4 linked regions of the Diceros bicornis minor genome follow. The protein of the gene in region 1 interacts with the protein of each later gene in a pairwise test. Links are inferred from orthologs where the notes say so. Each region holds a gene or a part of one and is shown on either strand. Other genes may lie near its edges. The genes, in order: FATE1, AGTRAP, KASH5 and CCDC70.

Region 1 (7,671 bases):
GCCAGGCACTTACCCCCAAGTGCAAACCTGAACTAAATGAATGGGAAAGCGGGGGTGGTAGTGCCACAAAGTAGAACCATCATTTAAGGATACCCCTGCATGACGGCCCATTCCTCCCCTGCCCACCCTGCTGAAGTAGAACGTGCCATCTGACAGGCCTCACCACAGCTCAGAGTTCTAGGTTGGCTCTTGTATTTGCCTCAATCTTAAAAAGAAATAGAAAACCAAGGCTCATCTGTCACCTGAGAAAGATCTGCAGCCTTGCCACCATGCTCCATTTGTTGTAATAATGCAAAATGGATCTTTCTCCAAAGTGCACACAGATATGGGTGTGACATTTTTTGTGTGAACAGTAGTTCACAATCATACTCTTTTATTTTCCTCTTCTTCTTCTTAATACACCTCAAAAACAGGATTAAAAGAGGCCAGCCCAGGTGGCTTAGTGGTTAAGATTGGCATGCTCCATTTACACGGCCCAGGTTCGGTTCCCAGGCATGGACCTACACCACTCATCTGTCAGTGGCCATGCTGTGGTGGCGGCTCACATACAAAAAGAGGAAGATTGACAGTGGGTGTTAGCTCAGGGTGAATCTTCCTCAGCAAAAAATAAAATAAATAAAGCTCTGGCTTCCATGGCAGTTGTAAAAAAAAAGTTGCATTAAATGGACAGTGGGTGTCAAGAAGACCCCAAGACTATAAAGGGGGAGTCGATCAAGAGTCTCTCCTAGAACAATTTCCACACCATCCCCTTGATTTAGGTAGATTGAGATCTGAAGGACAAAAAGTTTTTTGAGAGGTTTGAAGGCAAAATAAAGAAGAGTGACTGGCAGCTGGAGTTTGTTTGTGATAACATAGTTTGTTTTTAGCACATCAATATGATAAGAATTAATTTAACAACATCTGCAAGTCAATGATAACTTACTGTGGTCACACATCATAAGACAGGTTTAACTGTTCAAAAACAGTTGTCTTGTTACTTTTTTGTTTTTAATTTTAGAAACCCTCTATTTATAATTATATACATTGTAGAACAGAAGACTTTTATGCAAATTTGATGGAGATTAGGAAAATCTATGAACTGCAGCAAATTCCAGCTTCTCTCAGTTAATTACTTCAAAAGTGTTATTTTCATTTTCATGTACTTTTTAAGGCACACTACTTTTTTTTACTCAAATCAGCATAATAATATTATTATTTTTTTTGTTCTTTCATGTTGTGGTTCTCTCAGAGGCAATAACAGTTCCATGAATTTTTTTACTCAAAAATAAATAATGAATAAATAAATAGAATTGATAATTTTCTTAATTCTAAATTTCTAAATTTAATTTCTAAATTTAATATAACGACTCTATTTTTTAAAAGTGTACTCCTCTGGTCTTAATAGGTAACTTTAATTAATCCAGAGATTATACCACCACCACCGCCTGCCACCTCAGTCTCAGGAGCATGGGTGGCTTGCTGGAGCCTGACTTGCTAAAGCAACTTGATTTGGCTTCAGTCTTTGGACACAGGAAGCTGATTCAATATTTCTGGTTCATTTTAATTCCCAGGAGGTCTCTGACCTGGGAGCTCTTTTTCTCTTTGGGGGTGGAATCATTTCAGCATTTACAGTAACCTATTCCCTAGAACATTCAGGTCTCCCTCCTCCCCAACCATGTTGCCTTCCCCAGTAACCTCTGCAACAGTGTAATAACCATGTTTCTAAAACTTTCCCTCACCCACAGTGAATGTAGTTTAAAGGATTGGCTACAGAATAACAGGACTCAGGTGAATCCCTAGAACAGTCAGGTATCCCTCCTCTCCAAAATGGCTGCCTTTTCCCAGGATCCTTTGCAACAGTATAGCTGCCATTTTTTTTAGAACATTCCCTAACTCACATTGAATGCAGCTTACAGGATTGGCTACAAAAAGGCCAGGTTCAATTGATTGGATTTCCTAACAGCCAGGGAGCACAGGAACCTCACTCGCCTTACCCTTGTCCCAACCCTGAGATATATATATATACACTTATATATATTTATATTTATATATATGTAGAAATATATATAAAATATAGATATATATGTAGAGAAATATATATATTTTTAATAGAAAGTGTCATTTCACACACACTAGAGTTTTACAGAGTAAAGTACATATATGTACTCCCCAAGCAATACGTGCTTCAGGCATTCTGGACTCCCAAGGTTGAACTCCCAGCCTGTCAAATGATGGCCCTGACTTCTCGCTGGACCTCCCTGCCCTCGTTTACCTACCTGGTATACAGAAGCTTCCTCCGCCCCCCAAGTTAACATCTGGCCCTGCTCAACCTACCATCGTCAGAGTGGAGCCCCTACAGCCAGTACTCCCAACACCAACCCAGTCACCATGTGCCAAGGGCCCCATACAGTACCCCTTTCTTGGGCTGGGTGGCAGTCATATTCCAAACCAATTGGCCTGTAGCAGAGCCAGCAGCCTTTGGACCCAACTTCTGTTGCCGCTGAGAGGTACCCAGGGACCGGGACCCACACTCCATTATTTCTAGGAAAAATAACAGAAGCCCCCAGAACACCCATAGAGGCTGTACCAAGGCTTCCTTGGCACAGCACATACCAGAAAGGATAGGGTCCCCAAACTTCTTAGGAATCATTCAACACTCATTCACTGCTGTCCACTGGTCAACCCCAGGCCTCAGTTTGTTCATCTGTTTAAAAGTTTAGCAAGTATTTGCTGAGGGCAAAACTCCGAGCTAGGTTACTGGAGAAAGAGCAATGACTAAGAGACAGCATTGCAGAAATCAAGGAACTGATTGTGTGTGTGTATAGGAGGAGTGAGGGGGCAAAACAGAAACTAATCCATCAGTGTAGATTCAGATCAAGAGATATATGCTTCTAAAATGATAAAAATAGGGCAAGATGACGGAAGGAAGGGGCTACGTCTAGAAAAGTTGGAAACAACATTGAGGCAGAGATGTGAAAGAGAAACAGAGCCCATCCATGGAAAATCTAGGGAAAGAGCATCCAGGCAGAAGGAACAGCAAGCACAAAGGCTGTGAGGAAGAACCAGTGTTGGGGTGTCACAAGGACAAACATAACTGCAGTATGGAGTGGGGCACCATGCCACAGCATGAAATATGTTGAGTGACCTTGATAGGATCCTGTAGATCGTGGTAAGGAGTTTGGATTTCACTCTAAATGGCAGAAGGCACCGGAGAGTTAGGAGAGAGAATTGATCCGATTGATCTTATAAATTAAGCCCTCCTAATGTTCTGCAATAGACATAGTGGTGGCTTAGACGACGGGGAGACCAAGGGACCACACACGTTGGTCCCATCCTACTCCCTCAGGGGTGCAAAATGCTCACATCATCAATCCCTTTCCCCCTAGCTCCCCTGTCATTCAAGGCACAAATACATGCATATGCACACCAAGGCACAGACATGCACACATACCCACACATACATGCAAATACGTACATGCATATATATGAGCGTCTGCCCGGCCACACATGCACATTCTCCAACACACACGCACAGGTGTAGACACCCAAGGGAAGGAACATTTCAGAGGAACCTCACCTGCTATCACCAGGTGCTCTTGGCCTTGCCCACGGCTTCCAGGAGCCAGTTCTTCGGCCATAGACATTTCCATCTCCTCCTTGATGCTAGGGGGGCCTCCTGCCATCACAACCAGTTGTTCACTTATAAGCTATGGCCAAGGATGCACAGGGAGAAGGGCACAGAGGAGGCACTTGGAAAATCAGCTCTTTGAGGGGTAGGAGATCAAGGAAGATATATCTGGACATGGGGGTGGAGCCAGACTCCCTCTTTGGGCTCAGGCCTTGGACCCAGCACCTTCTGTTCCTGCTGTATCTTGTTGGCTGGTTTCGAGGCCTTCTCCCTGCTACTCTGTAAGCAACTTAGGAGAAGAGATAAGGTTCAGAAACTTTGCCTGTGAGAACTACCCTGGCTTTCAGGTCACCTGATTTTGCCCCATTGTGGAGCAAGTGGGGTCCAGCCTCCATCATTTCTAGAGAGATGCAGGGACTGGTGCAGGACCCCAGAGTCAGTCAGTGGTCAAAGCAGGGTTAGATCTGAAGCCTGTCATGGCTTCTGCAAGCCGAGCCCTAGCTACCAATCCCAGCCATAGCGCCCTTCAGAAGGCATCCTCTGCAGAGCCTGCCTCCCCAAATCCAGAGTTCCCAGGAAGGGGAGATGGGCTTTTGATGCCTTTGGTAAGCCTGAGCAGGAACCATGAGAACCAAAGGAGAGAGGGGTAGGAAAGAAAAGACCTGCATGCAGCCACTGGAGCCCCCAGCGTCCCCAGGCCCTACACCCCCTGGTCTAAGTCCAAATTCCTCCTCAGCTTCCCTACTGATTAGGCCACTGTGAGGGTCAGGTTTATGTGTTCACTTGGCCAGCCTACAGACCCCAGTTATTCCATCAAACACTAATCTAGGTATTGCTGTGAAGGTATTTTGTAGCTGTGGTTAACACCTACAATCAGTTGACTTTAAGTAAAGGCCATTATTAACTCTTGACAATGTGCATGGGCCTCATCTAATCAGTTGGAAGGCCCTCAGAGCAAAGACTGAGGTTTGCCAAAGAAGAAGAAATTCTGGTCAAGACTGCAGCATCAACTCTTGCCTAAGATTCCAGCCTGCTGGCCTGCACTGAAAATTTTGGCCTTGCTAACCCCACAATGGCATGAGCCAATTCCTTAAAATAAATCTCTATATACATACACATATGTACATGTACATGCATATGCATATACATACATACATACATATGCATATACATACATACATACATCCTATTGGTTCTGTTTCTCTGGAGATCCCTCACTGATAGAACCACCAAAGGTGACCCCTCAGCTCTTGGGAACAGCCCGAGAGCCCCTGGGGGTAGAGGAGGCTATTTCTAAAAGGAACCAAGCACAGCTGGGACAAGATAGGGGGAGGAGGAGGAAGAGGGGAGGGAAAGAGGAAGAAAGGAAGGAAAGAGTGATGGAGAGGAAAGGGAGGGGCCAGGACTTGCTTAGAGAGGGTGGTATGGTCTGGGCTGCCTGTCTCCCACCTTGGCCCCACCTGTCCAGCACTTGGACCAAGCTCTTCAGAGCAGAGCTGACATAGGCCCGGCCTGCATTCCTGAGGGCCCCAAAGAAGCCCTTCCCAGCTCCAGTGCAACAGCTGCTGCGATGAAACCCGAGCTTTCCGGAGCGCCACCTTAGGAGCAGAGAAGTGTGCTCTGTGGCAGTTAGGAGCCTGGGAAGCAGGAGCCATTGCTTTCTGCCAGGCTAGTGTTGCCAGATTGAGCAAATAAAAACACAGGACACCAATTGAATTTGAATTTCAAGTAAACAGCAAATAATATTTTAGTGTAAGTGTGCTCTGTGCAACATTTGGGACATACTTACACTAAAAAATTATTCATGGTTTATCTGACATTCACATTTAACTGGGTGTCCTGTATTTTATCTGGCAACCCTGTGCCCTGTCCATCCTTGCCATGATCTCAAGATTTGACCTTGAGCAAGTCTTTCCTTCCTTTGGGCCTCAGTCTCCCCATTGGACGATGGAGTTAACAATCCCCTCCCTAAATCGTGGCTGAATTGTGAGAGCACTCAAGGTAGTAGAGCTGGCAAGACCTTCCATTATTGATCTCAGATCAGATTCTCCACTGACTGCCAACTGTCCTTGACTAGTTGGGGCTTCCTGGGCACTGGGACACTGGGCCCAGGTACACGCAGAGGCACTGCCCTCTACTGGCAAAGGAACCCACCACCTAAAGTCAAGCAAAGAGGGTGACTTCCTTCCCAATCCCTATGCCCCCAATGCTAGCCAGAAACTCGGGCATTTCACCACCTTAGCATGCCTGTTTCTCTTGGATTGGGCACCAAGGATGGCTGGGTGGTGGGAGAGAGAATTTGCTGTGTGACTTTGAACTTGTCCCTTAGCATGTCTCTCTAGCATGCTAACCTTTTCCCTCCAATATTATAATTTCCTTCTGAAATTGCCCCAAAGTCTCTCCTCAAACTCTTCAAAAAGGGCCCACTGTCTGGCATGCCAACTTCGGGGGCCGGAAGGGCTGGAGAACCCTGGACACAGAAAGATCTGCCAAGCATTATGGGGGCCCATGGCCAAGTGAAAGTGGTGGGCTGCAAAGACCTAGACCCAAGTGGAAGGCTCCCAGAGAAGAGGACAAGGGAGCCTGAAGTGCTTCCCACCCAGGAGGTTAGACATGCCTCTAGGAAGGGGAAGAAGGAGTCCAGAGAACATTGGGCTAAGATGTGTGTGTATATGTTTGCAGTGTGTTACACAAATGAGATCGTACATTTGAGGTACATGCTGTTCTGCAACTTACTTTTTTAGGTGAACAGTGTGCCTTGGGGATCTGCTATGTCAGAACAAATCTACCTCATGTCTTTTAAACACAGCACAGTATTTTGCTGCACAGCTGCACCCTTGTTTATGGACCTGCTCATGGATATTTTGGGTGTCTAGAGCTTTTCGCTTTTATAAACAATGTAGCAGTGAGCATTCCTGGACAGGCCTCTCTGCATACATGTGTAAATGTTTTTGTCCAGCAGGTGCCTAAAAGTGGAAATGTGGGGTTCTAGGATATGTATGTTGGCAATTTTGACCAATATTGACAGACATTGTCAATGTCCCCTCTAAAGAGGCTGTGCCAAGTGGGACTTCATCAAAGGGAAGAAAGTGCTGATCTCTTCACAGCTTTATCAATGGAAGATATTATGAAACTTTCTAAAAGGCATCATTATGCTGGGTGAAAAATGATCTCTCTCTCATTGTTGCTTTAATTTATATTGCTTTAATTACAAATAAACTTGAGCAATTTTTCACGTTTATTGATCTTCTGTATTTCTTTCCTGTGAACTGTCTGCTGGAGGGCTTGGATATTTATTAAAATAAGAGCTGTTTTATTAACAGAAAGAGATGGGGAAGACAGCTCTCCCTCCCTTCGAGATAAGCATCTCCAAAGAAAACATATCATCTTTTTCCCTAAAGTTGATTGTGAGCACACAGCCTCAACTGGGGACCAAACAAACCTAGTTAATTGCACCCAAGTTTGGGCTGAAATCTAGAGGGCCTCCAGCTTCCCACAGAGTAGGTGTCCAACTTGGGCTGTTGCCTGCCTGTCTGACTGTCTGCTGTTGTCTTGTGTCTGTCCGTCTCTCTCCCTGTCCAACTACCTGCCTCCACCAAGGCCTTCAAACCACTGGCTTCTTCCAGCTGTTCAGCCAGCTGTGGACTCGACTCAAATTCCCGACCAGCTTACGGTTTGACAGTCCTGTCTGTGACCTGCTCCCACCTCTCTTGCAAGCAGCAGTGGGAGGTGGCAGGAACCCAGGCCCAGGGTCAGTACACCTGGGAGTGACTCCTAGCCCTGACACTGGGACATCTTACGCAAGTTGCTTCCCCTGCCCTGAGCTTCAGTTTCTCATCTTCACGTGGAAGATTGAGCTAAAACCCAGTTTCAAACTGTTTCATGGTTTCAGGGAGGTACACTGGGGCTACCTGGGCTTCAGGGCAGACTCCAGCTTCTCTTCACCCAGAGCAGTTCCGCTTTTATCGCTTTCTTATATTGGGGTTCTATGGAAGAGGCCATTCAAAGCCAATGAGTGCGATGGTCTGCTGCCCCCAAGCTCTGCTCAGAGCCCAGTCTCAGGC
Region 2 (7,826 bases), on another chromosome or scaffold:
GAGAGGGGAGGGCCAATGGGCCAAGGCAGCAGGGGGTTGTAGGATGCCGGAGTTGGGGATAGGAGACCCGGGGACCATGTCCTCTGTGTCTGAGCCCCGGTGGCTTCTCTGAAATGGAGGTGGTACTCATCACCCACACGTCCCACGGGGGCGCCTGACCGCAGAGAGACCGCCCTCTGACGGTCACCGTGGGTACTCGCTTCATAACCACAAGTCCTTGAGGGGACAGGCATCCTGTAACAGCATCAGCAGCAGCTCCTGCCCCCGATGAGGATCTGCCTGCCACGTGTCTACACTGCCCTGAAGACTGGGCCCACATCCTTGCAGCTGTACGGGGTAGAGTATTTATCCTGTTTTACTTCTGAAGAAACTGACGACATGAAAGATTAAGTAAATGGGCCCAAATCGTAATGCTTATAAACAAGAGATCCCAGATGCGTATCTCAGACTCAGTCTGTCTGGCCAGAGATTTTACGCTAATAAAAATGTAATGCCACACTGCCCCCTGGACCACTGGATCCTCCTCTTATCACCCTAGAGGGCAGGGCCTATTTTTAGCCTCTTCTTACAGTGAGAAAACTGATCCTCAGAGAGGCAAAGAAACCTGCTCAAGGGCACACAGCTAATAAGTAGCAAAGCCTGGCCTTGAACGCAGGTCTGTCTGGCCCCAAGGCCCGTGCTCTGCCCTCTGTGCTACACTGTGAGGATTTGGAAGAGCAAGGGGAGGGTGGATGGGAACGAGGAAGTTTAACCTGGAGGAGGGGAAACCAAAGGGTTACGTGGACCAGGCCTTAGACCCTTTGTCCAGCCCTGAGGGCCCATGGGGGATGGGGGGCCCTTCCCAGACAGGTGTGGACAGACCTAAGGTTAACAGACAGATCAGCACACAGAATATACTCCTACCGGTCCTGTGCAAACACTCGGTGACCTGCTACATGAGGTAGTGAGGTCCCCGAGGGTGGCAGAGGCTAAGGGACACCAGTCAGGAATGCCATAGAGGGGACGCAGATTCAGGCAGTGGCTGACTGCGTGGGCACTGGAGCCAAATACACGGATCTGAGCCTGGCTCCATGATGCAGAAGCTGTGTGACCTTCGGCAAGTCGCCTGACCTCTCAGAATGCTGCCTGCTCTTCTGTAAAGTAGGGACAATGGTGCTTGTTTCATAGGGTCGCTGTGGATCCGACGGCACAGGGAGGTGCACAGGGGTATGCAACACTTGACAGCGTGCCTGCCAGGTAGGTAGCCCTGATGCGCCGTCCTCATCACTACGATTATGAAGCTGGTGTCCCTAGTTCTTAATTCTAATGCTCCATTACCCCCTGGACCCTCCTCCCAAGGGCCTTTTCTCACCAGACCTCATGAACCCAAGGCTAGTCCTTTCAAAGCTTGTCACAGTGTTATTCCTGCAGCTCAGGACTTGGCTCATGGATGGGGCTCAGTTAGGGACTGCCCTTTGTGCAAAGGGCCTGGGGCAGCTGTTTCTTCTCACTTGGCACCACTGCCCACTCTGGCTGGGCTGGGCACAAGTAGGCATTCAGCCAATGCCCAAGAAATGTATGAAATGAGGGAGTGGGAGGGAGCCCAGGGCCACAGGGTGCCTTTCCCCAGTTCCGGAGGGGCTTTGATCTCAGAACATTCCACTCACCTGCCTCTGAGCAAGGAGGCAACAGCTGCCCTCCTAGGGTGGCCAGATTTAACAACAACAAAAATACAGAACACCCAGTTTATTTGGAATTTCAGATAATGAATAATTTGTTAGTATGTCTCAAATATTGCCTGCGATATACTTATACTTAAAAATTATTCCTTGTTGACCTGCAATTCAAATTCAACGGGATGTCCTGCATGTTACCTGGCAACCCTAGCCCCTCAGGGCCTCCCAGTACTTACTTGTCTCTGACTGGGAGCAGCTAAGACCCTTGGAGACATGGAGTCTTGTTTCCCAAGTCAAGGGAAGGACCAGTCATTTTATCCTGGGCACCGGAAGCCAGCACAGCTCACACCTGTGGCCGTGAAGGCCCATCAAGTGGCTCAAAACAGACTAAGCCCTCCCACTGGACATAAATTGTGGAGGCAGAAGTCAGCCCAACTAACTGGTGGCCAGGAGAGGACACGGCTTGGAAGTCTGACCCTGGTGGGTTCAAATCCTGACTCTGCCACTCAATCCCTGTGGGACCTTGGCAAGTTACTGACTTGATCTGAGCTGAAGTCTGCTCATCTCTAAAAAGATGACAATATCAGCTTTCTGAGAAAGCTGTTGTCATGAAATAAATAACCTGGCACACCACAGATGCCCCATGAGTGAGAGCCCTCCGCCCTCTCAATTCCTGCAGCTCTGTCCCTCACCTGACCCCCTCTTAGCAATTATTTTAGGCAAATCTCTAATGAGAGAAACGGCAGTCGCATTAACCCCACACTGCCTGGAACACAGTGAGTATTAATAACAAACTTCAGTTGCCCTCACATAAATTTCTTCCCAGCTAAATGTCCAACCCAGCTGTTGACTGGAAGCTTCGGGGCGGTTTGCCGGAGCCAGTATGATTAAGGAAATCTGCCACGTGAAGTCACAGCCCAGCGTCTAATCATCCAAATATGGATGATGCATTGTTTTGTAGTCATCTCTCTTAGTTTCCTTTCGCACCTGACACCATGGGTGCTAAATGCTTTGTCACTCCTGAGTAAAAGGACATTCCTGGACATAGTCTGGAAAGAGCCTGCACTGAGACCCAAAATGGCAGCTGTGGTCCAAGGTTCACACCTTCTTGGCCAAAGCTCAAGGCCTCAGTCCCTCTGTCCACACAGAGCAGGGAGGCACAGCCGGCTGGGGGTGGCCGGGGAGAAAAAGAAGAACAGCCTCTGGCATATTGACAGCTGAGAAATCGGCTCAGGAAATGAAGACATCTCAGGAAGCCCCGCGGTGCCGTCCCAAGTGCACAAAGTTGGGGTTTTCTGCTTTTAAGTAACTTCCATGGGGCTCGTGTTTCTTAGAAAATAAGGACGCGAGATCTATAAACTTTGGAAAACCACCTGTCTGGGAACATCTGATTTTCTTAACCAGATTCAGCAAACAAAGGAGGCTCCTGGGGCGGTGCTGCGCGTTCAGGTGACCTCTCTCTCCGTGGAGGGGAGGTGGCCGCCTCCAAGCCCCACCTCCGGCTCTCAGTGCCTCCCCCTCAACGCTTCACCCCCAGCGCCTTCCTCTTTCTCCAGGGGACTTATGGGCGCACAGGCCAAAGCGATCCTCAGGGGCCGGGCGCTCCCAGCTGGCGGGGTCTGACCTGGGAAGGCGCGGCCCTCTCGGTCCCCTACCGCCTCCAGTTCCCTCTCGGTCTTCCCAGCTGGCCTTTTCCTGGATCTCTCTCCCTGTTATGGTCTGTCTGCCCGCCTCCTTCTCACTTGGGGTCTGTACATTTCCTATCTCCCTACCACCGCTCTTCCCCAAACCCTCGGTCCTCTCACCTCTAAAATTCTTCTTTAAAAGAGCAAACGCCCAACAGACGCCAGGAGACCCGCCCCGCGCCCGCCCCGCCCCACCCGTCGCCACCTTCAAGTTCACCGCGGGCAGCTCCATCCCGACCAAGGCGGAGGGCACCTGCGCCACAGCCTCGGGGACTCCTGGGCTCCGAACTCGGGAAAGAAACTTGCCGGCCCCGCCCCGCCCGCCGCGGCAGCTCTAACCCCAGTCTGGCTCCAGACCACGTGAAGCGGATCACGTGACCCAGGCCCGGTTGCTAGGAGACGGCGTCGGGCTTCTGGCGCCTTTCTCCAGCCCAGGCAGTTCCCGGGCGCGCTTGGAGAATCATCAGGATTTATGTTGCAACGGGGCAATATCTTGGTAGGTTAATATCTCAGCAGGTGGACTGATGGGACCAGCTGTGTCCGGGAAATCTGAGGGGAATGTCCAGGTGCAAACTGCGGATGCGGCAACAGCTGAAGTCTCATCCCTTAGGGCCTCTCTCCTTCCGTGTGTTCGAGTGGAGACATTTACAATACCTACCTCATAGGATCCTTGTGAGGATAAAGGAACTAATTCACGCTGTTAAAGAAAAAATCATTCTGACACTTGTTAATACGTAAGGAAAACTTTATTCAAGACTATTGCAATTGGGATTTTACAAGACGGGAGAGACGTCAAGTTCAGCTCCGGGGAGACAGCAAGCACAAGTGGGGATTTCTAGCCGAGCGGCAGCGTGAGGGGTCAGTGGATGGACAATTGCTAAGAGGAGACATCAAGGCAAGGGGAATTCTTGCTAAACTGACCTAACAGGATTCTTGCTAAAGGCAGACCCCGGGCTTAGACATCCAAGTTGGGGGATGAGGAGCTTGATCAGATCTCAAGAGTAGGGGGATTCTCGCTAAGCTGACTCAGCAAGATTCTTGCTAAAACTGGGCTATGCATACACAGCAAGGACAGGAGGGTCAGAGAAGGCCAAGGTTTAGGCCTAGTGGAGAAGAGCGCTCAGAGGGGCCTACTAAGGTTGGGTCAAGGAGAGAGTCTTTGTCAAGGTGAAGTGCCCAGAACAGCGCCTGGCACTCAGGAAGTGGGGAACACACATAAGATATTGTCGTTATCAAGACGCAAGGACCAACTGGTTGGAGCCCACATGAGTTAATATACCAGAAGCTTTAGAACAAATCTAGCTGAAGAATGAGCAGAAAAGCTATGGGACACACTGTGTCCAGAAGAAGGAAGATTGGAGAAGAAAAAGCTTCTGTCAACGCACTGTCTGCCCCTCGGCTGTGAATGGAGGGAATTGGGGAAGGAAAGGGCTGTCTCACCTGGGATGTCTCTCAAACACTGTTGACTACCCTCCACCCCCAAAAAGGAACTGTAATTCCCACTACCTCCATCCTCCTCCCCACCCCATCCTTCACCCATAACCAGAGAAAACGTTCATTTGGAGAACATCAGCTTTCATTTAGAGTCACCTGGGGGGAGGGTCCCCTCGGGGTCCATCAGAGTGCTTGTTCTTCCTTCCAGGAGGGGAGAAACCACATGGAAACAGGCCAGACCGCCTGCTGGGTCCTGAGAGCACATCAACATGCTCAGCGTATCAAATGGGCGCTCTCCAGGAGCAGAGAAAGGATTTTTCTGGGTGAGTGAGGGGACTTTTGCTGGGTTGCAGGGCCCACCCGCCTAATTGAATGGCCCGTTTGGAGACACAGGCCTCCAGCCCAGGGGACAGAGCAGTGCAACATCTGCCGTTGGCACTGAGAGCTGGTGAGCTCTAGAGACCGGCCAAGAGGCGACATCAAGTTTGGTTTTTCGGGATATAGAGCAGAGAGGACTAGCTCTAGATCAGAGCAGCAAGAATCTGAGTCCTGGCTCTGTCCGCGTCCTGGGTGACCTTGGGCAAGTCGCTTTCCCTCTCTGTGCTTCAGTTTTCTCATCTGTACCATGAGGATAGCAATAGTATCTTCCTAGAAGTGTTGTTAGGATTTGTTCATACACGAAAAGCTCATAGAACAGTGCCTGGTATACAGTAAGCACTAAATCAGGATTGACTACTATTTTTATTATTAGTTAACTATTGTTATTGGCAGAGTACCTAGAAAAGAGTAATTCCTCCATAAGTGGTGGATATTATAACATTATTATCATATTACTATTTATCAATTCCTTCTAAGAAATGTTCCCCATCCACCCCAGATCCTTGAGGTGTTTAATTCCAGTCTGTAGTTGTGTAATAAGACTGTGATTACCTTGTAAGGAGAAAATGCAAAACAAACAACTGGGGTTACAGGGACATTTATTAAGTACTTATTTTGTGGCAGACAGTGTGAAAAGTCATTCATAATAGATGCTCACAAAAACCCCATGATGTGGATCCTCGTCTTATCTTGATTTACAGTGAGGTGATTAAGGTGAAGAGAAATTCAGAGGCTCCCCCAAAGGCATACCACTAGTTGGGTTGAAAGTGGGCTGGGGACCCAGGAGGTCTGGCTCCGGGACCCTGACATTTAGCCACTCAGCTCCAAGCCTACATTGCAGGAAAACGCAGCCTGAGATGCAAAGGATGGAGCGAGGAAGGAGGGGAAGACAGCTTGGAGCTGAATGAAGCACAGGGCTGGGTGTGTGGAGTGTCCCTGCAGCTCACACAGTGACCCTGCCTTCATCCCCTCCAGCTGGGGCCAGAGACACGGGGGAGGGGCAGACCCAGCAGGAGGTGCGGTGAGGGGTGAGAGAGGCCAGAAGAACAAAGGAAAGAGAAACTATCCGTGTTCTCAAAGGAGCCAGAGTTCCTGCCATGACCAGTCCTGACTATGGAAGGACACATGGACTCCACAAAGCACACTCCACAAGGCTTTGGGGTCATGTTTTCAGTGAGTACACTTTTGGAAGTGAAGTTTAAATTTTTCATGTTCCTCACCCATGAGGGACAGACAAGTTTTATCTTTGTACCTTCAACAAAGAAACTGACATGCGGAATAGATTCATTCATTCATTCTTTCATTGGGAATGGTTACCTACTTGGGTAAATATGTGGGAGTGGAATGGCTGGATCATGTGGCAGGTGTATATTTAACTTTTTATGAAATTGCCAAACTGTTTTCCAAGATGGTTGTACCATCTTCTTAGCACTTATCAAGATCTGATGTTATTGCCCTATCAGTTGACTTGTTTCCTTGTTTATGGTCTGTCCCCGCAACTAGACTGCAAGCGCTGGGAGGGTCTTGCGACCTCAACACTCAGCCCCGTGCCTGGTGCACAGCAGGTGCTCAGGGAATGAACTGACGTAGACCAACTGAACAATATGTGTGTGCCCCTTCCTCCCATCACAGGCACCTGGAGGACCTGCCACCCGACTCTGCTTGTCCTCAGGATGCCACTGTAGTCCAGGCTCTGCCCTGGAAGCCATTCAGTCAATGCCATTTGGTTATGAAGCCATTATGCAAATGGCTGATGAAGCCATTGCTTTCTCATGGTTGCTTCTGTCCTTTAGATAAAGGTATATTTTACATCCCTGCCTTGCCTCCTCCCGGCAGAGTGATCTGGGGTAAGTTATCTAGCCATGCCCAGCCTCAGGATGCTTCTGGGGCTCATGTGGGATAATTTACACAGCATGCCTGGCACAACTCCTGGCACTTCATAATGCTCAGTGAGCAAATAGCTGTCCTGCTCCTATGAAAGAAGGCAGCATCCTTTAGCATCTCTCAGCATCTCCTGGCCCATGACAAACGCCTGTTGAACTGGAGCAGCAGACGAAACAGAGAGAAGACACCATGCACCTTTCCTACTAGCAAAGCCGGGGAGACGGACCTCAGCATGTCTGCGTGCTGCCGCCTCCCCGACCTCAACCCCCAGCGCTGCCACTTTGTAACCATGTGGCCTTGGGTTAGCACTTAATCTCTCTGAATTTTTTTCTGCATCTAGACAATGGGGACAGTGACAATCAGTTCTGGGGCTGTGTGAGTCATGAAGGAGGCACTGAATAGGGAAAGGCTTTGAAATGGTTTCCAGCTGTCCTTCGGGCCACAGCGTACTGGACAGCCCACAATTCTGATGTGGTCCAGCCACTTCCATTCCTGAGTGGGTAAATCAAACCGGAGGAAACGGCAGAGAAAATAACCAAAACACTGTCTGAAAGGCACCTGTGGCTGTGAGAGAGCACGGCCCTCCACAAGAAGTATGACAGAGAAGGGCCTGGGAGGCAGAGCCGTGGCCTCTTGGTGGCACAGGGATTAATGCTGGGATTCGGTCTGGAGCCCTTTCCCCAGTGTTTCTGCTCAGCTTGTCACAGACACGCAGGGCTGTGTGTCTTGGCCTGAGTCTGGAGGGCTGAGAGCCCTGGTGTTCTGTTGGTTGTTCTTTGTATCTGTAGAT
Region 3 (7,975 bases), on another chromosome or scaffold:
CCCTTGCCTCCCAGGCTCGGCTCAGAGGGGGCTGGAGGCGGGGGAGGGCAAAGAAGAGAGGATTCTGGGAGGAGCGGAGGGTGAAGGGAGGGCCCGGGAGCAGGAACAATCCAATAACTCAAGGGCAGCCTGGATCGATGCGCCGGCCGCATCTCCGGTCTCCCATCCCCCGGGAGGCCAGGTCTCTGGCCTCCCTGGATCCTCCAGGGGAGGCTGGCGTCGTCAGAGCCCACAGCCGGGGAGATGGGGTGATCTAGGCAGGGTGGGCGGTGGGGGAGTGGTTAGGAGCTGGAGCGTCACAGTCAGGCTGACAAGGGCTCGGAGCCCAGCTGCATGACTGTGGGCAAACTGCTTCTCCTTTTGGAGCCTCAGCTTCCCCACGGGTACAATGCGCAGGTAGAGTGCTGCCCCTCCCCAAGGCTGGGAGGGTTAGGTCTATGCACGTGAAGAGCCCACACATACACACAATGTGAATGTCCCGGCTCTGTCCACTGCTGGGTCCACAGCGCCTGCATATAGTAGGCACTCAATAAATGCGCCAAGATATAGGAGGAGATCCTCTACTCTAGGAGCCACTGAGACAGCCCAGCCTCTTCCCCAGGGTTGGAAGTGACCCTCGAGACTCCCCGCCCTGCCTTTGGACAGCTGGGTATAGCAGCGGGCTGAGCACGGGCTGCAGAGTCTAGCAGACCCGGGAAGCAACCCAGGCAAGGGACTCAGCCTCTCCGAGCCTGTTTCTTCGTCTGGAAAATGGGGTTGGTCTCACCTCCTTCCAAGAGAAGAAATGAGAGACAATCTGGAAAGGCCTGGGCAGAGAGACTGGTACGTGGTGGAAGCTCAATAATAGAATGGAACACGTATTCGGCATTTAATAGGTGCCATGCCTCTTCTAAGTGTTTTGCACGGACCATGGTGGCTGCTATTATTCGCCCCACTTTACAGATGAGGATACCCAGGCACAGAGAAGTTAGGAACTTGCCCAGGGTCACCTGTTCCACACGAGTGCCCTTTCTCAGCCCTCTAACTCTTCAACGGTTCTTCGTAGTGAGCTAACATTCAGTCCCCTTGGGTTTGAGCCCACGTTCCTAGGGAAGGGGAGCAGGAACCCACATCAGGGGAGACACCAGGGCCCATGCCCGGAGCTTTACGGGCACTCTCGTTTCCTCCTCTCACTGTGCTCCCCACGTTACGGAGGAGGACCCTGAGGCCCAGTGAGGTCACAGGTCCAGCAAGGTCACTCGCCCAGAGCCGCTCAGCCAAGGAGAGCCAGGTGGAGTCAACCCAGCACTGTCTGGCTCCACATCTCAGGGGCCCTGAGGATCCGCACGTGTCTACAGTCCCTTCCCAGGGCCCTCAGGAGGATGTCACTCTGCTTCTCTCCTGTTCTCTTTCCTGTACTTTCTTCCTCAGTGTCTCTACCTCACTCTGTGTGTCTCTGTCCCTGCCCTTTTCTACTTTTCTCTCGGGCTCTTTCTATACATCTTCCTTCCCATCTCTCTCTCCCCTAAGCCCCGCCTCTTGGTCTCCCTGTCCTTTGCCCCGTTTTCTTCCCTGCGTCTCCGTCTCTGTGCTTCTCTTCCCATATCTCAGTGACTCTCCATTCCCCGAACCTTCTCTCTCTTTCCTCTGCTGCCTTTCTGGCTCTCTCCCCACCTGCCTTCCTCTGTCTCCATCTCTCCTGGGTGTGTCCCTCCCTTTCCTTCAGGAGCCTCCCGAAGCTGGCTCAGCCCTTTCCCGCGGGTTCCTCGGTGGCCGCACGCCCTCTGCTGGTGGCGGCGAAGTTTAGATGTCGGTTACTCCATCAGCCTGCCCTCAGGTTCCTTCACCGAGGTGTCTACCTTCCGCCTTCCCACCTGGAAAGCCTCCTGAGGCCTTGAGGAAAGACACAGGCTCTGCTGCTGGATGCTGGGAGCCTCTAAGAAAGGGACCCTGCTGCTGCCCTGGGGTGGGAGCCTCCTCCCCCATCACATGGGGCTCTCCCACTTAGATGAATTTCAGAGAGCGCCACCCAGCGTCTTCCTCATGAAGCCGGCTGTCACACCCAGAGGGTCTGCGTCCTTCCAATCACTCAAGGACAGTAACTGAGCTCCTATTCCGTGTCAGGCATCGTTCTGGGGCAGCGTAACCAACAGGGAGGGCAGCTCCTCGCCACAGGTGCTGCTTGAGCACTTGATCTGTGGTGAGTGTGAACTGAGATGCTCTGTTCGTGTAAAGTACGCACCAGATCATGAAGACTTAGTATGAAAAAAAAGAGAATCTCTCCAACATATTTTTATACTGATGATAAGCAGAAAGGAGATGATTTGGGACATATTAAGTTAAATAAAATCTATTATTGCCACTCATTTTGCCTGTTTCTTTTAAATGTGGCTCCTAACAAAATGTAAAATGACATACATGGCTCGCCTGTTGGACACGCTGCTCTAGGGACGGGGATACCAGAGTGACTAAAATGACCCTGCCTTGTGGACCTCATGCTCCAGTGGGGGAGACAGAGACTAGACGGACAGACAAACAGATGTCGGTGCTACGAAGAGAAGTGAAGCAGGAAAGGGGAGACAGCGTGACAGGCAGCTGCTTTACAGAAAGCAGAGATCTGAAGGAAGTGAGGGGGAAGCCCGCAGGTCCCCGGGGCAGGGGGACAGCGCCTGCAAAGGCTGCTGCTCTGGCCTCCCTAGAGCAAATGCGACAAGGTGTCCAGACCGGAGGGCACATAGCAGGCACTTAATCAACGATAGCTCTCTGTCTCCCACCCTGCACCAAGGGGGAGGCTCAGCCAGCCCAAGCCACCTCTCCAAAGTCCCCGCGTCACAGCCTGGTGCCCTCTTCACCCACTACTTCCTCCTTATCCTCCCATGGGACAGACAGGGGCCCAGCCACCTACTTTCTGCAGCGGCGGGGCTGCCCGCCCGGCTCTCTGGCAGGTCCATGGGCCACTGCCTCTGCTCTGCAGCCGCTGGCGACGCTAAGAGCCTCCCTCCATCACTGGGACAGACTGACAAAGCACCGGCGGCCCCGAGAGCTCCTGCAAGGACAAACAGAGAACGGCCTCCTCAGACCAGCCACCCGAGGATGGGGACCGTGCTGCCCCTCCTGTGCCCCGGGCCACTCTGGGTTCTCAGAACCTGTTCGCCCACCCTGCCTCGACCAGAGCAGCGCCCGCTCAGACCTGTTTTATGGATTGGAGGTGTGGGCTGGGAAAATGGGGGCCCGAGGAGCGGGCGGCGGAGATCAAAGGGGGGCTACTGGGCGGGGGTCACTTGCCTCCCCTCCTCCCCACAGCTTGTTAAGCCCTCAGCCCTGCTCCCGCAGGGTGACTCTACCCTGTCCCCTCCTCTCCCTCTCTACAGCTCTGGGTCAGGCCTCCATCCCTCCCCCTCCAGTCCATCCCCACAGGGCCCCAGAGCTGACCTGTCCCTCCTTTGCTCAGTGTTCTTCTACGGCTCCCCAGCACCCGGGGGACAGAGCCTAGACCCTGGATCTGGCATTGAAGGCCCTGCACGGCCTGGCCCCACCTGTCTCTCCACTCCAAATCACACTTGCTGCTCCAGCGACTCAACTGCATGCTGTTCCCCAAAGGCTGTTCCCCCCTCTGGGTCTCTGCCTCGGACACCCTCCTCACCAGCCCTTCCTGTCTCGGCTCACATGTCCCCTCTGCTGGGACAATGTTTCTGAACAAGGTGCTGTCCCTGGGCTCCCCCACCGCCCTGGGCTACTGACATTCTTGCCAGGTCAGCCTGTATTTGGAGCTGCTGGCCTTTCACTGGAGTTTGATCCCGCTCCTTCCCTGCTCCCAGCCCACCCATGGCTCCCGAGTGCCCCCAGGACTAAGTCCCAGTCCCTCAGGCTGGCGTGGTACACAGTGGTTCCTGCAACTCCTTGCCTCTTTTTGTCACTCTTCCCTCCACTGGCCGATCTCCAGGTTGCTCACCCCCATCACGGCCATGGGAGCTTAGCATCTTCCCACGGTCCGCCCAGGCCACGCACGCACCATCCTCACCAGTGGTCCCCGCCCTGGTGACAGCTCTCCTGGGAGCCTTCCCCGAGTCCCTGGAGCAGTTAGGGCCCCTCTCCTCTGTGCCCTGACAACGCCCTGTCCTGCCTCCGTGATAATCAGCTTGACCACACGACTTGCCGTCCCACCTCCAGGACACTTGCAAGAGTGAAAGGGGCGCTATTAACAATCACACTGGACAGTGGTGCCCCTCGAAGCTGAACTGGGCACACTGGGGCAAATGGTCACAGAGGGTCACCCGGGACCTGTGTGTCCTCCCCCCACCTGCTCAGCCCCCTTTCCTCACCAAGCACTCCCCACTCCCTGCTCTCCCTGGCGCCAGACGGGGTCCACGGCCGTGGAGCGCGCACTTCTTGGTGGCTTTTAGAACGTCCTAGAAAAAGGGGTCTTTGAAAAGAGACCCTTCCAGGGTTTGGACGAGCCCAGAAAGTGCATAAGGGGGGCGATGGCCGTGGGGCCTCAGTGGGGAAGGGGCCCTGCAAGGCTGCCGACCTGCACTGGGGGCTTCTGACAGGGTTCGGGGACAGACTCCTGGCGGGGGAGCAGGGGCTGTTGGGTGATCTTGGGGGTCTCTGACGGGGAGACTTGAGCAGGAGGACCTAGGCAGGGATTCTGCGGGGAGCCTCCAGCTGGGTTTCTGGGGGTGAGGGCTGTCTCTGACTGGGTTTCTAGGGGGGTCTCTGGATTCCTGGGGGATCTCTGGGTTTCTAGGGGGGGGTGTCTGGATTCCTGGGGGATTTCTGCCTGGGTCTATGGGGGGGGTCTCTGGATTCCTAGGGATCTCTGACTGGGTTTCTAGGGAGATCTCTGGATTTCTGGGGATCTCTGACTGGGTTTCTGGGGGGGGTCTCTGGATTCCTGGGGGATCTCTGACTGGGTTTCTAGGGGTGTCTCTGGATTCCTGGGGATCTCTGGGTTTCTAGGGGGGTCTCTGGATTTCTGGGGATCTCTGACTGGGTTTCTGGGGGGGGGGTCTCTGGATTCCTCGGGGATCTCTGACTGGGTCTCTGGGGGGGGTCTCTGGATTCCTGGGGGATCTCTGACTGGGTCTCTGGGGGGGGTCTCTGGATTCCTCGGGGATCTCTGACTGGGTCTCTGGGGGGGGTCTCTGGATTCCTGGGGGATCTCTGACTGGGTCTCTAGCGGAGTCTCTGGATTCCTGGGGGATCTCTGACTGGGTTTCTGGGGGGGATCTCTGGGGATCTCTGACTGGGTTTCTAGGGGGTCTCTGGATTTCTGGGGATCTCTGACTGGGTTTCTAGAGGGGTCTCTGGGGGGTCTCTGACTGGATTTCTAGGGGGGTCTCTGGATTTCTGGGGCATCTCTGACTGGATTCCTGGGGTGTCTCTGGATTCCTGGGCAGACCTCTGACTGGATTTCTAGGGGGGGGCGTCTCTGGATTCCTGGGCAGATCTCTGACTGGATTTCTAGGGGGAGGGGCCTCTGGATTTCTGGGGGTGTCTCCAACCGGATTTGCGAGGTCTCTGATAGGTTTTTGGGAGGGGAATCCGACAGGATTTTTGGTGGGTTTGAGAAGATTTCTGGGGCTCTCTGACAGAACTTTTGGGGTCTCTGATAGGATTTGGGGAGGGAGTCTAATAGGATTTTAGGGGGGTCTCTGACAGGCTCTGAGGGAGAAGTCTGACAGAACTTCTAGAAGATTCTGAGAAGATTTCCAGGGTCATCTATAAGATTTCCTGATGGGTTCCTTTCAGTATTTCTGAGGGTATTTGGTCGGGATTTCAAGAAGAATTTTAGCTAGATTTGGAAGGCCCTGATATCGGGGACTCTCCTCTACGACTTGGGGGCTTTGCCAGGACTGCGGGCGGGGCTCTGACAGAGCTTCTCTGGGGAACCTCGCTGCAGCCAGGGCCAGGGCTCACCTGAGGCCACGTCCCAGTCTCGGGACACAAACGAGAGCGACGAACAAACAACGGCAGTTACGTGGAGAGCAGGTGCGCGTGCGCCGTTCCCGCCAGAAAAAGCAAAGAGGGCCGGGGCGGGACCGAGAGCTCGCGTGTCGCCCAAACCCCGCCCCCCCGGGTTCCTCCCCTGACGCAGGCGCACACCGGCAGAAGGCGCGCGCCGGTCTTGTCGGTTACCTGCAACAGTGAGGCTGCGCATGCGTCTGGCTGCCCGGGCGCGCTCCCAGTCTGGTGGGGCGGGCGCATGCGCGTTGGCCGAACGGGTGACTGCGGGAGAGATTATGGCTGGGAGGGAGGGGTGACGGCGACGTCTACGCTGGGGTCTTCTGTGCGGCCTCAAATTTCGGTGAAATGGGCCCAAGCAAGGGAGAGTTGGACTGAGGGACTCCTTGTCCATCCCTCCCTTCTTATCAGCCACCAAGCCGTGCCCTTTCTGCCCTCTGTTCCGTGCCAGGCTGCACGTCACCGTCACAATGATTTGCTGCCTCACCACTCCCGCGCCCTTTTGTGGCTCTAGTCACAATGTATTAACAGGTCCCCGAAAGATTCTTTCCCAAACCGTTTCATTCATTCCTTTTAGGAGAGAGTGGGGAAAAAATATTCTCAGCTTTTCTGGCTGGAGAGAGGAAGAGAATTACATCTAACATTGACTCCCAAAAAGGGGGATTTGAGACAAAAGATGTCTCACCCACTCGGCCTCTCTGCTAGCCCAGATACAGAAAAAGAATCCTTTTGCATCCTCTTGTTCATCCAGCCATCATTTATTCAGCTGTCACTTCCTCAGAGAGACCTTCCCCTGCCGCGGTGTCTACACTAGGCCTCCATCTTAGTATCCACTTAACTGTTTTTTTAGTGGTCCTCATGGCCCGTCTCACCATGTGACACTCTGTATTTGTGTACTGTCTGTCACCCTCACTGCAAGGTGAGCTATATGCAGCAGGAGACTGTTTTGGGGCTAGAACATGCCTAGTCCAGTGCGGACACACAAAAAATGAGCTGAGGGGGACGGCCCCGTTGCGTGGGGGTTAAGTGCGGGCGCTCCGCTGCTGGGCACCGGGTTCGGATCCCGGGCGCGCACCCAGCGCCACTTGTCAGGCCGTGCTGTGGCAGCATCCCATATAGAGTGGAGGAGAATGGGTACCAATGCTAGCCCGGGACCAGTCTTCCTCAGCAAAAAAAAGAGGAGGATTGGCATGGATGTTAGCTCAGGGCTGATCTTCCTCATGCGCACACACAAAAATGAGCTGAATGAATGAGTGAATGAATGGACAGAATCCATGTCTCTTAACTACTGGGCAGTATAGAGTGATGATAAGGCTGTGGGCCTGGAGTCAGACATTTGTGGGTTTGAATTTTGCCTCCATCACTTCCTAGCTGCAACCTTGCCACAATGGCTTACGCTCTCTGAGCCTCAGTTTTCCTCCCAGAAATGAAGATAATAATTGCTTCTTATGTTACCTTGAGGACTTAAGGTGGTAATCCTTGTTAATTGACAGTTATTATTTTGGCTATTAGATGGTGGCTTGTTATTAGGCCTGGGAAAGAACCTGTTTGGTGGGTGATGTGGTGAGCGGTTAAAAGCGTGAGATATGGAATCAGACAAAGGTAGTGCCATTGCTGTGTGCCCTTGGCAAGTGACTTCACCTCTCTGAACCTTAGCTTCTCTAAAATGGGGACAAATAATATCCACTTCATGGGGTCTTATGGGAGTTCAGTAAGAATGTTTACCAATGTTTGCTTAGCACAGGCTTTCAAGTGGTGGTCTCCATTAGCTTTGCTATAATTTCATTCTTTTAGTTTATTCCTGCAGTAGTTCTTGTTCCTTCCTTCCTTTTTTGAGGTCTGGGTAATTTTGTAAAACCTGAAAAAATTAAAAAAAAAATTTTATAGTATGGTTGCAACATAAGGTGCTAAATCTTAAGTTATAGCTCAGTTAGTACAGTAATACAGTAATGAAACCACCCGTATAAAAAAAGACAGTATTGCCCAAAACCCAGAAGCCTTCTTCACACCTCCTCCTAGTTATTACCCTCCA
Region 4 (6,073 bases), on another chromosome or scaffold:
CCTTACACCTCGCAGATCGTCCTACATGATCCACTTTGACTCCATCACCAGGGAAAGGCAGTGCTTTTGTGGGCCGAGCTCTGGAGCTTCAGCCTAATGCCATGCCCCTTTCTCTTGCTACAGAGAATGGGCACTTGAGAAGTTTCCTAGAAACCGGAACTACAGGCAAGTGGACCATTAGGGGATTCTGCCTGTGTGTTCTAAATGGCCTAGCAGGTCAGGAAGAATTGTTAACAGCACGGTAGCCTTTTCACTGCAGAAAGCGTCAGCCCACTCTAGGCCTCCAAGACTGCCTAGAGTGGAGCAGAAATGATTGCCCCACAGTGTGACAGAGGCAGAGAGGTCTCAGCACTTCTCTATCCCGATGTGTCTCTAGCTGGCATTGTCTGAGCCTCTCTTCTACTCCGTTCTGACTCTTTTAAGGAGAGCCACAGTCTCTATTCAAAAACACCTAAACATGCCAGGCTTATGGTGAACTGCCTGAGACCAAGATCTACAGATAGAAATACAGCCTGGAGGATGGGAATACGACCTTGGAGAATCACAAAGCCTGGGAAAAATGTATCTGGCCTTCCTTGAAGAAGAGGCTTTCCAAACCTCTCCTCAGGACTTTATTAGATCTTTTGAAGCAAAGAGACAAATAAGTGCATATTTTCTCCAGCACATGAGGTCACCCTGGACTTGAATTCCAATCCAACAGAGTCTGGACCCCATGGCCCTTCATCTCCTGGGCTCATGCCCTGCCTCGGAAGAAGGCTGGCGATCGTGGCTCTCCATTGATGTTGTAGTGCCTGTCTTCAGGTATCTGCTCCTCAGCAATATAGCCCCCACCTTCTACCCAGAATGCTTTCTCCTCCTCCCAGAGGGCATTCTCTTCCTCCCAGAGGGACTTTTTGTCCTCCCACAGGCCCTTCTCCTCATCAAGAAGAGCTCTTTCCTCTACCCACAGGGCCTTTTCTTCCTCCCACAGGGCCTTGTCTTCCTGAAGAAGTTTCCGGTCTCTTTCCCATAAGGCATTGTCCTCTTTCCAGAAGGCCTTATCCTCCTTCCAAAAAGTGCGATACTTTTTCCAAAAGGTTTTCTCTTCTTCCCGGAAAGATTTTTCCATTTCCCAGAAGGCTTTTTCCTCTTTCCAGAAGGTTTTCTCGTCTTCCCAGAAAGGTCTCTCCTCTTCCCAAAAGCCCAAGATCTGGCTCCGGAAAGCATGGATTTTGTCCTGGAAATTCCACATCTCTTCCCTGAAGTCTTCTATTTTCTCACGGAAAATTTTCATCTCTTCCCTAAAAGCCTTTTCTTCCTGAAGCTTGTGGATTAGTTTCTTCTGGCGAATGTTGGGCGAAAAGATGGCTGGTGACCGGAAGCAAATGAGCCCCATCCATTTGCTTACCTTGAAGGAAAACATCTTCCTAGTCAGCCAGAATGGTGGGGTGGCCATGATGGAGCACAGGGCCCTTGGCCAGGTCCAGGTCAGCTGGTCAAACCCTGTGGGGACACCAGAAAGAACATGTTCATGAGTATCATACGCCAGAGGACAAGCTCTTGGGTCTGTACCATTGGATTTGGGAAAGTTTAACCACCGTTCTCTTTGTCTCGTTGGTGGTGTGTGTGAAGAACAAGCTTTGGTAGAGAAACATGCTAGGTGGTCGTGGTTTTGGGCTGAAGAGGCAGTCAATACATTCAAGCTCAAGCCTGTTAAATCATAGAATCTCAGCCAACAAGGACAGTGGATCTCAACTAGGGTATCAAAACACATGAGTGTGACACGATCACTTAAGGGGTGTGTCACAAACAATTCTGTTTTGCTTTTAAATAAGAAAGTACCACAGCCCCCAAAAGATTTACTTTGTTAAATCAACCAGATTCCATTTAAAGTATTTTTTTTTAATTTTATTTATTTATTTATTTTCCCCCCAAAGCCCCACTAGATAGTTGTATGTCATAGTTGCACATCCTTCTAGTTGCTGTATGTGGGACGCGGCCTCAGCGTGGCCAGAGAAGCGGTGCGTCAGTGCGCGCCCAGGATCCGAACCCGGGCTGCCAGCAGTGGAGCGCACGCACTTAACCGCTAAGCCATGGAGCTGGCCCAACCAGATTCCATTTAAACTTTGGCATTCTCACTTGGGGAATTGCTTATAACTTTCTTATGGACATGCTGACAGCAGGGTGCCCACACATGTGACTGTCCTCTATTATAACCCATCTGGGAAACAGAGAGTGAGAGCCACTGAGCTAGGGGAGACTGTTGCAGTAGAAGAGTCTATTTTGGGAACAGAGGTTTAAAATAAGAAGGTGACAGACAACGCCAAATGTTGGCAAGGGTGTGGAAAAGAGGAACTCTCACGCAATATCGAGTAATATTGAACAATAGTGAAGACACTTTACAACCCAGCAGCTCCGCTTCCAGATATGTACCCTGAGGCAACTCATGAATTGTGACCAGGATACATGTACAAGGATCGTCAAGGAGCTCTGTTCAGAAGAGCTCAACACTGCAAATGATCCCTCTGCAAATGATCCAATGACCATCAGAATAGAATGGAATTAAAAAATGGTGGTATACTCAAGCAATAGATAGCATTGCGATGTGCAACAATGTGGGTGAATTTTATAAACGTAACGTCGAAAGAAAGAAGCAGGATCAAAGAACTTCAAAGAATAAATTTCCCAAACAGGCAAAACTAAACTCTATTGTTTAGAAAAATATACTTAGGTGATAACACAAAAAAAAGAGAAGTAAAGAAGTGAGTCTCATAAGTCAAGATAGTGGTTACTTGTGTGGGGAACGTGATGGGGAGGTGAGATACTAGTGGTTGTGATTAGGTGAGGATATGAGAGGGTCTTCTGAGGGGCTAGCAGGATTCTATTTCTTTACTTGGGAGGTGGTTACATGTGTGTTCATTATAAAAATATGCTAAGCTATACACGTATATTTTATGTACTCCAGTAAATGCATTATATTTCACAGTAACATAAAAGCTAGGGAGAAAGGAAGAAAGAAAGAAGAAAAAACAAAGAAGGAAGGAAAGGAGGGAGGGAGGAAGGAACGAACGAAGGAAGGAAGGAATGAAAGAAGGAAGGAAGGAAGAAAGGAAGGAAGGAAAAGTGGAAGGAAAAGACAAGAGAGAAAGAGAAAGAGAGGTCTTCAAACATTGCCGTATAGCTGAGGTATCAGATATCAGAACTAACCACAAAAATTTCAGTAACTACAATGGTGGCTCAAGGGATGAGAAGACGGGATGGATATGGGAAGGTGGTTAGAGTGCAGGGAAGACAAGGGGTACACACACATGGTAAGGGCATTGATTTCGATTCTGAGTGTTCTGGAAGCAGCTGCCAGGGTCTGGCCTCACTCAATGGGCCTTGCCAACCACCAGACTGTGGAGCAACATGAGCTCTTCAGGAGATTTCCAGGCTTTCTCCTTCTTTTTCCACTGTGTGGCTTGGGAGCAAGAAGTGGGGGAGAAGGAAGGACACAGAGTGTGTGCATGGTGAAGAGGTGGTGGCTACGCTGTGGGCAGCTGGTGACATCATCATCCACCCAGTCACACAAACCAGAAAGCTGGGGCTCATCCTTTACTTCTTCCTCTCTCTCATCAGACTTTTAATCAATCATCAAGCTCTCCCATTTAAGATCTTTAATATTTCTTGAAACCATGCCCCCTGCTCCATCTCCTTGACCACAGCCAGTTCAGGCTAAGATGCCTGTAGCAGCCTAACTGGTCTCTCTGGTATTGATCTTACCCTCCCATCTGCCCCTACATTGTAGCCCCAGGGGTGTTTCTAAAACACTGTCTCGTCACATCACACCTGCTCACAAACCTTCAAAGACCTCATAGCCCAAAGATCAAATCCAAACACCTTAGTGAGGCCCTCTGCAACCCAACTCCTGCTTGTCTCTCCCTTTACTTTCCCCTTCAGTCTCCACTCAACTCCAAAGCTAAGTTTCAGTAATAATGAGCTACATTCAGTTCTCTGGACACCACTTGCAGTTTCCTGTCTCTATGCCAAGGCATACGCTGTGTCCTCTACTGAGATTACCTTTTCCTCCCATTGTGGGCTTGAATTCCTGTTCATCCCTTCCTCTCTGAAAGCTACTCAGACCCTCCAGGCAAGGTTCATCACCACCTCCTCGATGCTAATTGTCTCTACCCTCCCTTGGTTACTTGTCATGCTTGATAGAAATTAGTTGTGGACTAATTGCTGTGCATATAGGAGGTAATTGATAAAATTGTTGGTTGAATGGAACTGAATTTCATTGAAATTTGAAACTGTCATATTCTATGTTGTATTATGGTTATTTGTCTTATTCCTACTATTTTTGCAACTGCTACTATCTTTTTAAATAATTTTATTTATTTATTTTTTTCCCCAAAGCCCCAGTAGATAGTTGTATGTCATAGCTGCACGTCCTTCTAGTTGCTGCATGTGGGACGCAGCCTCAGCATGGCCGGAGAAGCAGTGAGTCGGTGCGCGCCTGGGATCCGAACCCGGGCTGCCAGCAGCGGAGCGTGCGCACTTAACCGCTAAGCCACGGGGCTGGCCCAGCAACTGCTACTATCTTGAGGTGAGAGAAAGGGCCTCATTATTGAAGTCCCCACGTTTCTTTCTTTCTGCCATGAGAACACATAGCAGGCCTTCAACAAGCGTTTGTGGAATTGGATTAGGTAACTCTTCATGAGGAAAGACTCAGGGTCAACTAGAGTTGCAAGATAGCTGTCAAAAACAATCAATTTTCCAACAATGAGATCAGTAATAACAATTGCTACCTGTACATTTATTCAGCACTTTTCTGCTGGGCATTTAACCTGCGTTATCTGTTTAATCCTTTCAACCACACTAAGATAGGTATCTTGATTAATTCCATATTATAACTGAGAAAACCAAGGCTTAAATAAGTTAAAAACCTGTTGAAACAGTTAAGTAGGTGAGTCAATATTCCGCTGGAAGCCAAAGGTCATGTTTATAAGTGCATTATGTGGTCAAGCACATTGTAAACACTATCAGGCTGATATTTTCACTATGAAGGGGTGTGTGTGTGTGCATTTGTATCAAGCACTGGACCTACCGATAACAATGCATTTAGCAACTTGGTCACTAATTTTAAATAAAACATTCTCTCCTCGTACAACCCTACTGCCGAAGGTAAATATATAGACGCTCACACTAAAAAGCAAATTAAAAAACACTGAATGTTATCACTAAAGAAAATAATTCTTTTTTTTTTTTTTTTTGCTGGAGAAGATTCTCCCTGATCTAACTCCCTGCCAATCTTCCTCTACTTTTTTTGTATGTGGGTCCCCACATACAAAATGATGAGTGGTGTAGGTCTGCCCTGGGACTGGACCCCGTGAACCTGGGCCACCAAAGCACAGCGCGCCAAGCTTAACCACTATGCCACGGGGCTGGCCCCAATAACTCTATTTTTCAACAAGCAAAATAAGATTTACAAAAGTCCGTTTTCATGTGTGAGACCTGTCTGTCCTGAATTTGCAAAGGAAAAGTTTGTGCAGGTTCTGTCCACTGGACATATCCCAAGACCAAAAGTGACCATCTTCCCACTTATACTAAAGCTATATTTCTTACTCCATGAGCAGTGTTTGCACTAACTAGAGAACTCGCTGAAACCGTTTAATAAATCCCTTTTTCCTTTTGGCCACAGATGCCATCTCTCACCCAATTCTACATTTCACACTGTCTGGTTTATCCCAAGCCATTATTTCCAGGATCTCTTTGGGCCGCACACTTCCTGCAGGTCTAGCACCAGTTGTTGCTATTAGTGGGCTTCCTTTTGGGGCTGCTCCTCACAAAGACACAGAGCCTGTCTGCATCCATGATGAGGAGAAGAGAACCAAAAAGCCGAGCGGAGAAGTCAATTCAGGGTAGATGGCTCAGTCCATGGAGTCATTTGAGAACAGAAAAAACTACAAATTTTAGGTCAGCGAGCACTAAGAGTTAACCACACATATTTTCCCCCCTGAATCTAACTCTCCACTTGGGCAGCAGTGGGAGAAACCTGCTTATGACACTTGTTGAATAAGCGTGTTATGGAAATACAAGTATTATAAGTCAAGTA

The links.
Region 2: the proteins of FATE1 (region 1) and AGTRAP interact in binary tests that used the Homo sapiens proteins (3 or more experiments, as listed by UniProt). The two-hybrid records come from large-scale screens. The link is inferred for Diceros bicornis minor from reciprocal best matches to the Homo sapiens genes FATE1 and AGTRAP.
Region 3: the proteins of FATE1 (region 1) and KASH5 interact in binary tests that used the Homo sapiens proteins (3 or more experiments, as listed by UniProt). The two-hybrid records come from large-scale screens. The link is inferred for Diceros bicornis minor from reciprocal best matches to the Homo sapiens genes FATE1 and KASH5.
Region 4: the proteins of FATE1 (region 1) and CCDC70 interact in binary tests that used the Homo sapiens proteins (3 or more experiments, as listed by UniProt). The two-hybrid records come from large-scale screens. The link is inferred for Diceros bicornis minor from reciprocal best matches to the Homo sapiens genes FATE1 and CCDC70.

Annotation. Positions count from the first base shown.
Region 1 is NC_080781.1:136,029,792-136,037,462, reverse strand, and holds the start of FATE1 (fetal and adult testis-expressed transcript protein), read right to left. Parts: upstream 3,663-7,671; coding exon 3,557-3,662; intron 2,521-3,556; coding exon 2,393-2,520; intron 1-2,392. UniProt on the Homo sapiens protein: Involved in the regulation of endoplasmic reticulum (ER)-mitochondria coupling. Negatively regulates the ER-mitochondria distance and Ca(2+) transfer from ER to mitochondria possibly implicating it in the regulation of apoptosis.
Region 2 is NC_080752.1:30,869,759-30,877,584, reverse strand, and holds the start of AGTRAP (type-1 angiotensin II receptor-associated protein), read right to left. Parts: upstream 3,637-7,826; 5' UTR 3,573-3,636; coding exon 3,546-3,572; exon of another isoform or gene 3,248-3,545; intron 1-3,247. UniProt on the Homo sapiens protein: Appears to be a negative regulator of type-1 angiotensin II receptor-mediated signaling by regulating receptor internalization as well as mechanism of receptor desensitization such as phosphorylation.
Region 3 is NC_080773.1:24,834,123-24,842,097, reverse strand, and holds the start of KASH5 (protein KASH5), read right to left. Parts: upstream 3,580-7,975; 5' UTR 3,566-3,579; coding exon 3,412-3,565; intron 3,026-3,411; coding exon 2,885-3,025; intron 2,275-2,884; exon of another isoform or gene 2,042-2,274; intron 1-2,041. UniProt on the Homo sapiens protein: As a component of the LINC (LInker of Nucleoskeleton and Cytoskeleton) complex, involved in the connection between the nuclear lamina and the cytoskeleton.
Region 4 is NC_080748.1:25,477,637-25,483,709, forward strand, and holds CCDC70 (coiled-coil domain-containing protein 70), read right to left. Parts: upstream 1,436-6,073; coding exon 734-1,435; downstream 1-733.